Linked DNA regions of Caenorhabditis elegans. The protein of the gene in region 1 interacts with the protein of each later gene in a biochemical or structural test. Each region holds a gene or a part of one and is shown in the gene's direction. Other genes may lie near its edges.

Evidence for each region. The genes of interacting proteins can lie anywhere in the genome.
Region 2: the proteins of sop-2 (region 1) and smo-1 form a complex in vitro, tested with the Caenorhabditis elegans proteins (one study listed by BioGRID).

What each region holds. Positions count from the first base shown.
Region 1 is NC_003280.10:12,338,139-12,345,372, forward strand, and holds sop-2 (Polycomb protein sop-2), read left to right. Parts: upstream 1-1,805; 5' UTR 1,806-1,807; coding exon 1,808-1,897; intron 1,898-2,233; coding exon 2,234-2,300; intron 2,301-2,517; coding exon 2,518-3,013; intron 3,014-3,784; coding exon 3,785-4,130; intron 4,131-4,491; coding exon 4,492-5,367; intron 5,368-5,418; coding exon 5,419-5,481; intron 5,482-5,496; exon of another isoform or gene 5,497-5,550; intron 5,551-5,996; coding exon 5,997-6,272; 3' UTR 6,273-6,657; downstream 6,658-7,234. Other genes in the region: C44C11.6 (Transcriptional regulator), read left to right, coding at 6,696-6,728, 7,014-7,148. UniProt on the Caenorhabditis elegans protein: Polycomb group (PcG) protein. PcG proteins act by forming multiprotein complexes, which are required to maintain the transcriptionally repressive state of homeotic genes throughout development.
Region 2 is NC_003279.8:1,339,168-1,341,765, forward strand, and holds smo-1 (Small ubiquitin-related modifier), read left to right. Parts: upstream 1-1,510; 5' UTR 1,511-1,535; coding exon 1,536-1,601; intron 1,602-1,657; coding exon 1,658-1,758; intron 1,759-1,808; coding exon 1,809-1,917; 3' UTR 1,918-2,098; downstream 2,099-2,598. Other genes in the region: K12C11.7 (Copper transport protein), read left to right, coding at 109-203, 263-399, 464-543; K12C11.1 (Xaa-Pro dipeptidase), read right to left, coding at 2,188-2,469. UniProt on the Caenorhabditis elegans protein: Ubiquitin-like protein which can be covalently attached to target lysines as a monomer. Does not seem to be involved in protein degradation and may function as an antagonist of ubiquitin in the degradation process.

The sequences.
Region 1 (7,234 bases):
TTTTTTGAGTGCAAATTTCAACAATATTTTCAATCTTACATGAAATAACCGTCTGAAAATAAAAATTGAAAAATTATAAAGTCCCTATTTTTATCGAAAGTTTATGAAAAAAAGAATATGAAACATTATTTTTCCTACGTTACTGGTGTCCCCCGGAAACTTGTGATTTTAAAAGCCTTGGCATCTATACAGGGGTGGGCCGCGAAAGATTTTTTCCGGCAAATCAGCAGATCGGCAAATTACCGGAATTGAAAATTTCCGGCAAATCGGCAAACCGGCTAATTGCCGATTTGCCGACTTTGCTGTAAATTTTCGGCAAATTGTGGGTTTGCACATTTTTTTTTGGAAATTTAAAAATTTCAAATTTGATCGGAAAAATTGCACTCATCCTAGGAATGCTCATACATCTATTTTTAGAAGTAGACAATTCTATGAAAATATCTAAAGAAAACGGGAAAACATTTCACAAAGGCACAGTTTTAAGGGTTTCCGTCTTACATAAAATTCCTCTAAACATTTCCGACAAATTGATAACCGGAAAACGGCAAATGGGCAAATTGCCGAAATTGAAGACTTCTGGCAAATCGGCAATTTACCGAAATGAAAACATCCGGCAAACCGGCAAACCGGCAGATTGCCGGATTTGAATATTTCCGGCAAATCTGCAAACCGGCACTTTGCTGAAAATAAAAATTTCCGGCAAATCGGCGAATTGCCGGATTTGAACATTACCGGCAAATCTGCAAACCGGCACTTTGCTGAAAATAAAAATTTCCGGCAAATCGGCACATTGCCGGATTTGAACATTACCGGCAAATCTGCAAACCGGCAATTTGCCGAATTTGTCGACGAAATATTTGCCGAACGGCAATTGCCGCCTTTCCCTGGTTTATACCTCCAAAAATTGAATAATCTGCTATAAGTTATGGTGATGATTGTTATAAACACATATAATTATATAATACACAAAATAATTGGAATGTATTTTTTTAATCCTTATACATATACATATATCCATAAGCCATCCTCTTTTTATATCTAATCAGGGCTTAACTTCTCTTGCACTATTCCCCTTCAATCTTCCTCTCTCCACATAATTCTTCGTCGTCATACAATTCCCCATCATCTCCTCACTCTTTTGCCCAATTGCCCCGCCCGTAAACCAATCATCGTTCGAGTCGACGAGACACTGTGGTGAAAGAAGAGGGTCGGGGAGGTGTGACTGTGAGTTTGAGTGGGGGTGAGCGTGCGCGCATCACACACTCTCCACTGCGACTCGCATTGATTGATTTGGTCACTCGCACTTTTTTGTTTGCTGTTTTCGTTTTTTATTTTTTTAAAATTATTTTAGTGTTTTGATCGAAAATATAATGTGAAAATTAAAGTATTTAAAATTTTATTTTAAAACCATTTTGGTTAAAATTTAGTTTTCTTTTCAAATTTAGGCTACCGGTATCTAAAAGTTTTCTGCGAATTTCTGTGAGATACGAGTTTTTATTGTGAAGATCGGGCATAACTTTTTGGAGTGTCTGAAAGTTGAATTGACAGTTTTTTTTTTAGAAAAGAAACATTTCCAGAATTTTATTGATTTTTTTGTGTAAAAAATCTACCTCTACTTATTTAAAAATTTATTTTCCTTGTGTAATCATTTTTGAAACAAAATCCCAAGTACCATACACCCCCCCCCCCCCCCCCCACTATACGAGCAATCGCGCTCCATCACGAATCTTGACGCTCCCCTCTCAGCGGGAGATTGTTTTATTGAATTTCACTGCAACATACATTTAAATTAATTTTTTCAAAAGAAATGAGTTCAAACTTGACCAGTAATGAGATGTCATCAACATCTGCAATTGTAGAGCCCCCGGAGGCTGTGAAGGGAAATGAAAGGGATAAGGTATAGTTTACAAATTTTTAAAAATAAAAATAATCGTTTCTCCACTACTTTTACACAAAACAAATGATTTATACCCAGCTCAATATTTTTTTAAACTATTTTTTATATTTTATCAAATGTTGCCCAGTTATTTTCCAATGAGATATAGGGGTTAAAAAAAAAGAAACAAATTTAGTAATTATCAACTTCAAAACCCTCTAACTTGCCGGAAAATAGAGATATGGAAAAATTGTTAACTAACACTTTGGAGTACCAAAATTTATCTACATTTTATTAGTTGACAATTTTTTGATAGCTAACCGTCCCAATAAGTTACAATAGTTTTAAAACTTTCAGTCCACTCGACGATCGACATCTCAAGTGGTTCGACCGGAAAAGCACGAAGTTGAAAATGCATTGGAAGGTGAGTATTTTTCAAATATATTATAGAAAAATTAATAATTGCAATTTTGGTGCTCAAGTTATAATATAAACTCCGTTTTGGCAAATTGCCAATTTTCAAAAAACCCCAATTTCCGAATTTCTCGGAAATTTACCAAAATTTTGTAGTTTTTTAAAGCTCTACTAGACCTTCAATTTTTGAAACTTGCTTACAATTAGTGAAAATAATAATTTTTCAGATCAATGCTCATCAAGCAGCTTACCAAAAGAAGCTCAATATTATGCAAAACTCGACAAAAAGCTAGAGGGCAAAGACCCCCGATCTCAGTTCTACGAAGCGGTACGCCTGTCCGCCGACATTTTTGCTCATAAATTCGAAAAAGCCGTGTGCTCCCGCCAAACGTTCGAGCCGACCAACTCCATCATCAAAGTGCTCAACACTGCCGAGGAGGAGATGCTCCACGAGAAGGTTGTCCCACTACCAGTCAGCTCAAAGCTCCAATACTATCTCAACCGGGGACGTTATGATACGATATTCGATCGTGATGAGCAATTGCAAAGGACTGCTGACCCGATGGCCGACGAGCCGGATCATGTGGAGAAGCGGGTGACGAGCATTTTGGAGCAAGCTTCTCGAGAGATGGAAGAAGGGGAAGTCGAGCCGGTGTTCTATGATGGATCTGATGAGGATCAGGAACTTCCGATTGATCTAGGAGCTATGAGAAATCTGCAAAGGTAGGCACTAGAGCTTCAGAACAAAAAATTAATTAGCAAATATATTATTCCCAAAAGCAAAAAGCCCAAAAAGCGCATACATTTAACCAATTTGTGGGTGGTTTTTTATACGCATAAAGCTACGTTCAGGCCGTTTTTCAGGCCGTTTTCAGGCGTTTAGAATTCTTGAACTAAGAAAAAAAATAGATATTAAAGAATGTCGTGGGATGATTGTTAATGATAACAAAACTCAATATTGCAATATGAAACGGACAATAAGCAATATCTGAGTCATGGCGGAAGGGAAAAAAGTGCGATATTTCGCACAACTATCATATGGCCTGGCTTCCAGATTTTGATCATATCAGTCTTTTCCGTGGTCTCATTACGGTTTGATCTACAAAAAATGTAGGAATTTTTTGCTCAAAAATATGTGACGTCAGCACGTTCTTAACGATACAAAATCGGTTGAGAACTCTGCGTCTCTTCTCCCGCATTTTTTGTAGATCTACGTAGATCAAAGTCTTTGAAATTTTTGAGCTTAAATTTCCCTACACTTTATCAAGATAACAAACGCGCCCTATTGCCAACTTCTCGCACACCGACGCCGCCAAGTTTGAAGGTGATAGGGGGGGAGAGTGAGAGGGTGCCAGAGATTCATGTAAACATGGAACGATGTATGTTTTCCCAGCAGTGTGTGACCTTGTGTGTATGTTTTTTGTCGCGCGTTATATCAATTTTTGTTAGCAATGTTTCAATTTTCTGTGATAACAATCAATCAACTGTTTTCAGAACCAACAAGTTCGCGGCTCGCTCGAGCAGAATGGCAGCTCGGAGGGGAGGACGGCCCGGCTATCGTGGTGCTTTCAGAGGTGCAGCTCGCGGAGCACCTTCTAGAAGACCTGCACCAGCTGCAGAGGTGGCTCCAGAGACTCCAGTAGCGGCTCCGATGGCTCCAGCGGCTCCAGCAGCTCCTGCAACACCTGAAGCAGCTCCGGCAGCAGAAGTTATGGACACATCAATTGCCACAGAGATGCCTCAAGAGTCGGCTGTGGATCTGTCAAATGTGTCGGCGGCTACCGAGATGGATACATCTAAAGAAGGAGAAGCGTCCAGACCGACTAGCGAGAAAAAAAAGGTAAGCTTTTTGAAGGCTCGTATCTCGGACGGTTTTTGTTTTTTCGAAAAATTCTTAACTAACAAAATAATTACCGCATTTTTTTACAATTTCGTAGTTGAGTATTTGTTGATAACTTAAATTGGAGCAATTTATAAGCTTTACTTTGGCAACTCGTAACTGAATCTCTAATGCATATTTTCTATTTATTTTTTATTTTAAATTATAGAAAAATTAATTCTAAACATTTTTGCAGTTTTCAAAATTTTTATAAGACAAAAACCAATTGAGATATAAACTTTCAAAGCTGAAATTTGCTCTAAAAATTGAAAAAAGGTTCTAAAAAAAAGGTTCGTGAACAAATTAAAATTTTTTCTCAAAGTTTCAGAAAATCCGCACAACCGAAATGGACCGTCTTATGAGCATGGACTTGGGACCCAAGGATGGTGGCCGAGTCGGCGAACTCGGCCACATGTGGCCCGAATCACGCCGTCGTCCTGCTGCACCCCTACCAGAGACACCTGCTGCTCAACCGAGAAAGTCTCTGCCAAGGCGAGCCGCCGAGAAGAAGAAGCCTGAAGATTCGGACGCCGCTGAGGAGCAGGAGGTTGAGATGGAGGTGGATAACGACGCGAGCACATCTACTCCAAGAAATGCACGTGGAGGTAGAGGTGGTGGCAATAGACGAGGATCGAGAAGAGGTCAGAAGAGGACATCTGGAGGATCGGGGAAGCTCGTGGAGCCAAAGAAAGAGCCGGTCGACGAGCCAGCCGAGAAAATCCCAAAAAGATCCGAGGCAGCTCCAGAAGTTCCAGCTACTGCCACAACCAAAGAAGCCCCACCATCCACCTCCAGCTCCCCACCGGATGCTCCAGCTACCCCAGCCACTCCAGCTTCATCCGACTCTCGGGATTCCCCACGAAAGATCCGGGCGATGATTTTCTCGCTTACCGGATCCCCACCAGAGTCTGAAACTCCGCCAGTTCTGCAGCAAGAGCAGGTGATCTCCACAGCAGCACCGACAGCCGGTCGCCATCCAAACATCATTCAGCAGGTCCCGCACATCAATCGGATCCCGCCACAACCGCTGAGACGTCTCACAGCTCCTCAGGCTCCACCAGCATCCCAGCCAGAAGAGCCTCCAGTTCAGCAGACTGTTCCGGTGGTTAAAGTCGAATTGGCTTCAGCTCCAGCTCCAATCGTCAGGGATCCACAGTCAACGGAGCCAGTTCCACCTGCGATGCCTACACTTGTCGAGGTAACCATTTTCAGAATATGACGACTAATTTTTAATTACAATTTTCTTCAGAACAACCACGAAGCTACGCTCATTTTGCCGCCCAACAAGACATCAGACTACACAAGGTGGAACGTAAGTTTTTTAAGGCTCAGGCTTAGGCTTAGGCTTAGGTGTAGGCTTAGGCTTAGGCGTAGGCTTAGGCTCTGGTTTGGGCTTAGGTTTCAGCTTAAGCATAGGCTCAGGCTCAAGTTCAGGTTCAGATCTAGGCTTAGGCTTAGGCTTAGTATTAGGCATAGGTTAGCCTTAGGCTCTCTCTCTCTCTCAGGTTTAGGCTCTGGTTTAAGCATAGGTTCAGGCTTAGTCTCAGGCTTAGCCTGAGGCTTAAGCGTAGGCTTAGACTTTTGGCTTAGGCTTAAGCTCAGGTTTAGGTTTTGGCTTAGACTTTGGCTCAGGCTTAAGCTCAGGTTTAGACTTAGGCTCAGGCTTAGACCTAGGCTTAGGCTCAGCATTAGGCTTAGGCTTAGGTTTAGGCTTAAGCTTAGGCTTAGGCTTAGGCTTAGGCTCAGGTTTAAGCATAGGTTCAGGCTTAGGCTCAGGCTTAGGCTCTGGATTTCGACTTAACACATTCTAAAACAATTATGCTTCAGGCGCAAGATCTCATCAACTGGGTTCGGCTTCTCATCACCAACAACGTGGATTCCACTATTGCAATTATGGTTCGCGAGGAGTTTGACGGAGAAACGCTGGCCTGTCTTGTGTTGGACGATGATTTTCGAAAAGAGGTACCAATTCCATATGGTCATTATAAGAAGATGAAGATCTATGGGACTGAGGTGCTCAACCATTATCGTACGGAAAAGTATCAAGCTGATTTGAGAAAGTTCCATGAGGAGTTGGCTGCCTGGAAGGCTCAGCAGCGTTAACTCTGTTAATTTTTTTATGTTAATTTTAATGTTAAAATTAATATTTTTGTTGTTTTTTCTGACATTTCAAGCTCTTGCATATTGACTCCTACCGCTTTACCCATTCCTCGTTACCTAATTTGGACCTACTTAGATGATAGAAAACTTTCAGCAGTTTTCTAATTTTTAATAATTTTAATTTTTTGTAAGTTGATTGCAATTTCTTTAACTATTAAATTCCCCTTTGATACTCACAGAGACATGTTTTATATTCTATAATCAATCGATTTTTGTCATAATACCCGTTTTACCCTTATTTTTTCTGTTCACGTTTGCCCTCATGATTAAATGTTTTTCGAGTTTTTTAAATGTTAATGACATTTTGTATATGAAAAGTTAAAAAATATTCATTTCTGGTTTCCACAAAGCGAACGATACACAAAAATGTTAAAGAACGCTGTGAATGCAATGAAAAATGTGAGATTTTTAATTAAAAAATCTCTTACCGGCTGAGCACACGTGGCTCAGTGGGTAACAGGCTTGACTGGCAAGCAGGAGGCCACTGGTTCAAGTCCACCGACCTCCACCGACGTCAGGAATCGAACCTGTGATCTTTTCCCTTAAAGCTGAGCCTCTTACCGGCTGAGCCACTGGCCGCACAGCACCGCAAAAAATTGTCGGCATGGCTCAGTGGGTAACGAGCTTGACTTGCAAACAGAAGGCCACTGGTTCGAGTCCTTGAACTGAAGTAAACATTTTCAGATCGGAAAATCTCGATCGAGAAGTGCAAGTCGCGAGAAGGTGCTCAAAGACTCGGCCGTACAAGCTTCACCATCATCCCGTGAAGCCGTCCAAGTCGTCAAGGCAATCGCCCAACCAGTCGTCGAACAAAAATAAATATTCTCACGTTTTTTATTACTCTAAAAGAAAATGGGTTCACAGGGCTATCAGTAGAGCGCATATCAGATTTTTGGTCGAAATTT
Region 2 (2,598 bases), on another chromosome or scaffold:
CAAAATGGCCTAATTCGGCAAAAACTCTTCCATTTCAAATTATGAGGGAAGCCAGAAACCCGTGTTTTATTTTTCGGGAATTCCTGAATTCCAAAAAAAAAATTGTAGGCCGTCGATTGCTGTTGCTCAACGCCTGAAGGCATTTGGGAGATTCCGGAAGAGCCTGAGCCGTCGCCACGTGGCAAACTGGCATCGTTGGCTCCGTGAGTTGGCTTAAAATATTCCAGGATACGAAATTCCGAAAAAAGGTGATAAATTGCAGATTTACAATGGAATCCATCTCAAGTTGGAGACATTTTGCGTCTTCTTTTCTATTTTTTCTTCAAAATTTTGTGGATTATTCGTTGATGCTGGTAGCAATGACATATAATTATCCGCTATTTTTCTCGCTTTTAGCAGGTTTTATTTATTTTTTTTTTTTTTTGAATTTTTAGAAGAAAAGCTTAAAATTCGTAAATTTTAGGCCACGCCATCGGATATTTCTTCGTTGGCCCGTTGATGACGGTTAAGGAGGTCGAAAACACTGGAAATTGCTGTTCTTAATTGATTTCATAAATATGTATAAAGCATTAAATTTGAATATATTTTTAATAAAGAAAAATCGATATTCACATTAGAGCGCGCTTGCAATTTCACGATGAGACCTGACGATACCGCGCGAATTAAATCGATCGCTTTTTGGCCTAAAATGCTCATTAACAATTGTTTTTGTAGTTTTTAGCTTAAAATTATATTTTAAAATCCAGTTTGCCTTGTTACATATTGGAAAACGGTATTTTTAGAGTTTTTCCTCAAAAACCAAGCGAAAACCTTGAATTTTGTTCCGAAAACTTGTTCAAAACATTTTTTTCGTTGAAAACTCAAATAATTCACCAATTTATCTATTTTAGGCCGAAATCTCTTATTTTTTCAGTCCAAAAAGCACCAAATTTGGTCAAAAACCTGTCCAAAATCTACCGTACCCTCGTGTTGCTCGTGAAATGCGGTGCATTGTGTGCAAACACCGCGGCGTGAACATGCACACTCTGCAACGCGGGAAATCATTTCGAAAAGGTTTTTAGGCGCGTATTGCCCGATTTTTCGGCTCATTTCGTGTGTTTTCATTTATTTTTGCCTTCTTTCTCCGGTCGCGATGCGTTTAATTAAGTTTTGCTTCTAAATTTCGTCAATTTCGCTGAAAAACCACGTAGAAAACTTGATAGGAACTGGATATCCTAAAAAAAAGGATTTCCTTGAGAAAAATGGGTTTTTTTTCTGAATTTCGCAGTGATATTCTTGAAATTCTCAGCGCAGCGCTCCCCAGACAATCGATATTCCTAATTTTTCAAGCATCTTGTGGCTCAGCCAGCTGTTCTGTAATTATCGATTTTATTTGTTACAGCGTCTATATAAATACCCTAGAAAGTCATCATTCTGCACTCTTAATACCTTTCACTCGTGTGAGTTGCATTCTCCATAGCAACTCTACCTCTCTCCTTCTATCTCTTTTTCTCTTTTCAAATCTAATTTCGTTTCAGAGACTCCCGCTATAAACGATGGCCGATGATGCAGCTCAAGCAGGCGACAACGCCGAATACATCAAGATCAAGGTCGTTGGACAGGTAATTTGACTGGAAATTCGCCGCGAATTTGTTAATAATTCCCAAAAAAATTGCAGGACAGCAACGAAGTGCACTTCCGTGTAAAGTATGGAACCTCTATGGCCAAGCTGAAGAAGTCGTACGCTGACAGAACCGGTGTCGCCGTCAACAGTCTTCGGTGAGTTTTGGAAATCCGCGCCAATTCCTATCAACTTTAAATATTTGCAGTTTCCTCTTCGACGGACGTCGCATCAACGACGATGACACACCGAAGACGCTCGAGATGGAGGACGATGACGTCATCGAGGTCTACCAAGAGCAGCTGGGCGGATTCTAGTCCTCTACCTACACTCTAATCCGAAAACAAACACCCATCCATCCCTTTTCCACTGAGATACTCGGTTTCTCTGTCTCATTTAATCTATTTTCCACATTTCGAATCATATTATACAACCAAAAAAGTTTAAAATAACTTATTTATCTTACAAATAAACTCTTCGTTTTCGGAAAATCCCAAATTTTTAAAAATTAAATTTTATTTTACATGAAAAAATAACACAGTAATAGTAGTAGGAATGATGATAAATTAGAATCAGTAGACAAAAAATCACTTGGACAAGAAATCAGAGACACGAGATTCGATGACCTTCTCCGTCCATTCGCCTCCACTAGCCATGAAGTTCTCGATCTCCTCGACGGTTCGTGGAAGATCGCTCAGATTCTCGTTACCAGAAGCACGAATGATGACGTCATCCTCGATACGGACGCCGCCTGATCCGCGGTACTTGTCGATTTCGGATTTGACGAGGAATTCGCTCTTTTTCGGGTCGGCGAGCGCCTCGTTGAGCAGGAAATCAATGAAATAGCAGCCGGGTTCGATGGTGATTGCCTGGAAGATATCGATTTTTACGTGAAAATTCGGAAAAATTGAGGTTTTCTGGATTTTCCAGCTCCGCGGGGCTAATTTTTCTACTTTTCGATAAAATTTCGGCATTTTGCATGCTTTAACAGCTCAAAA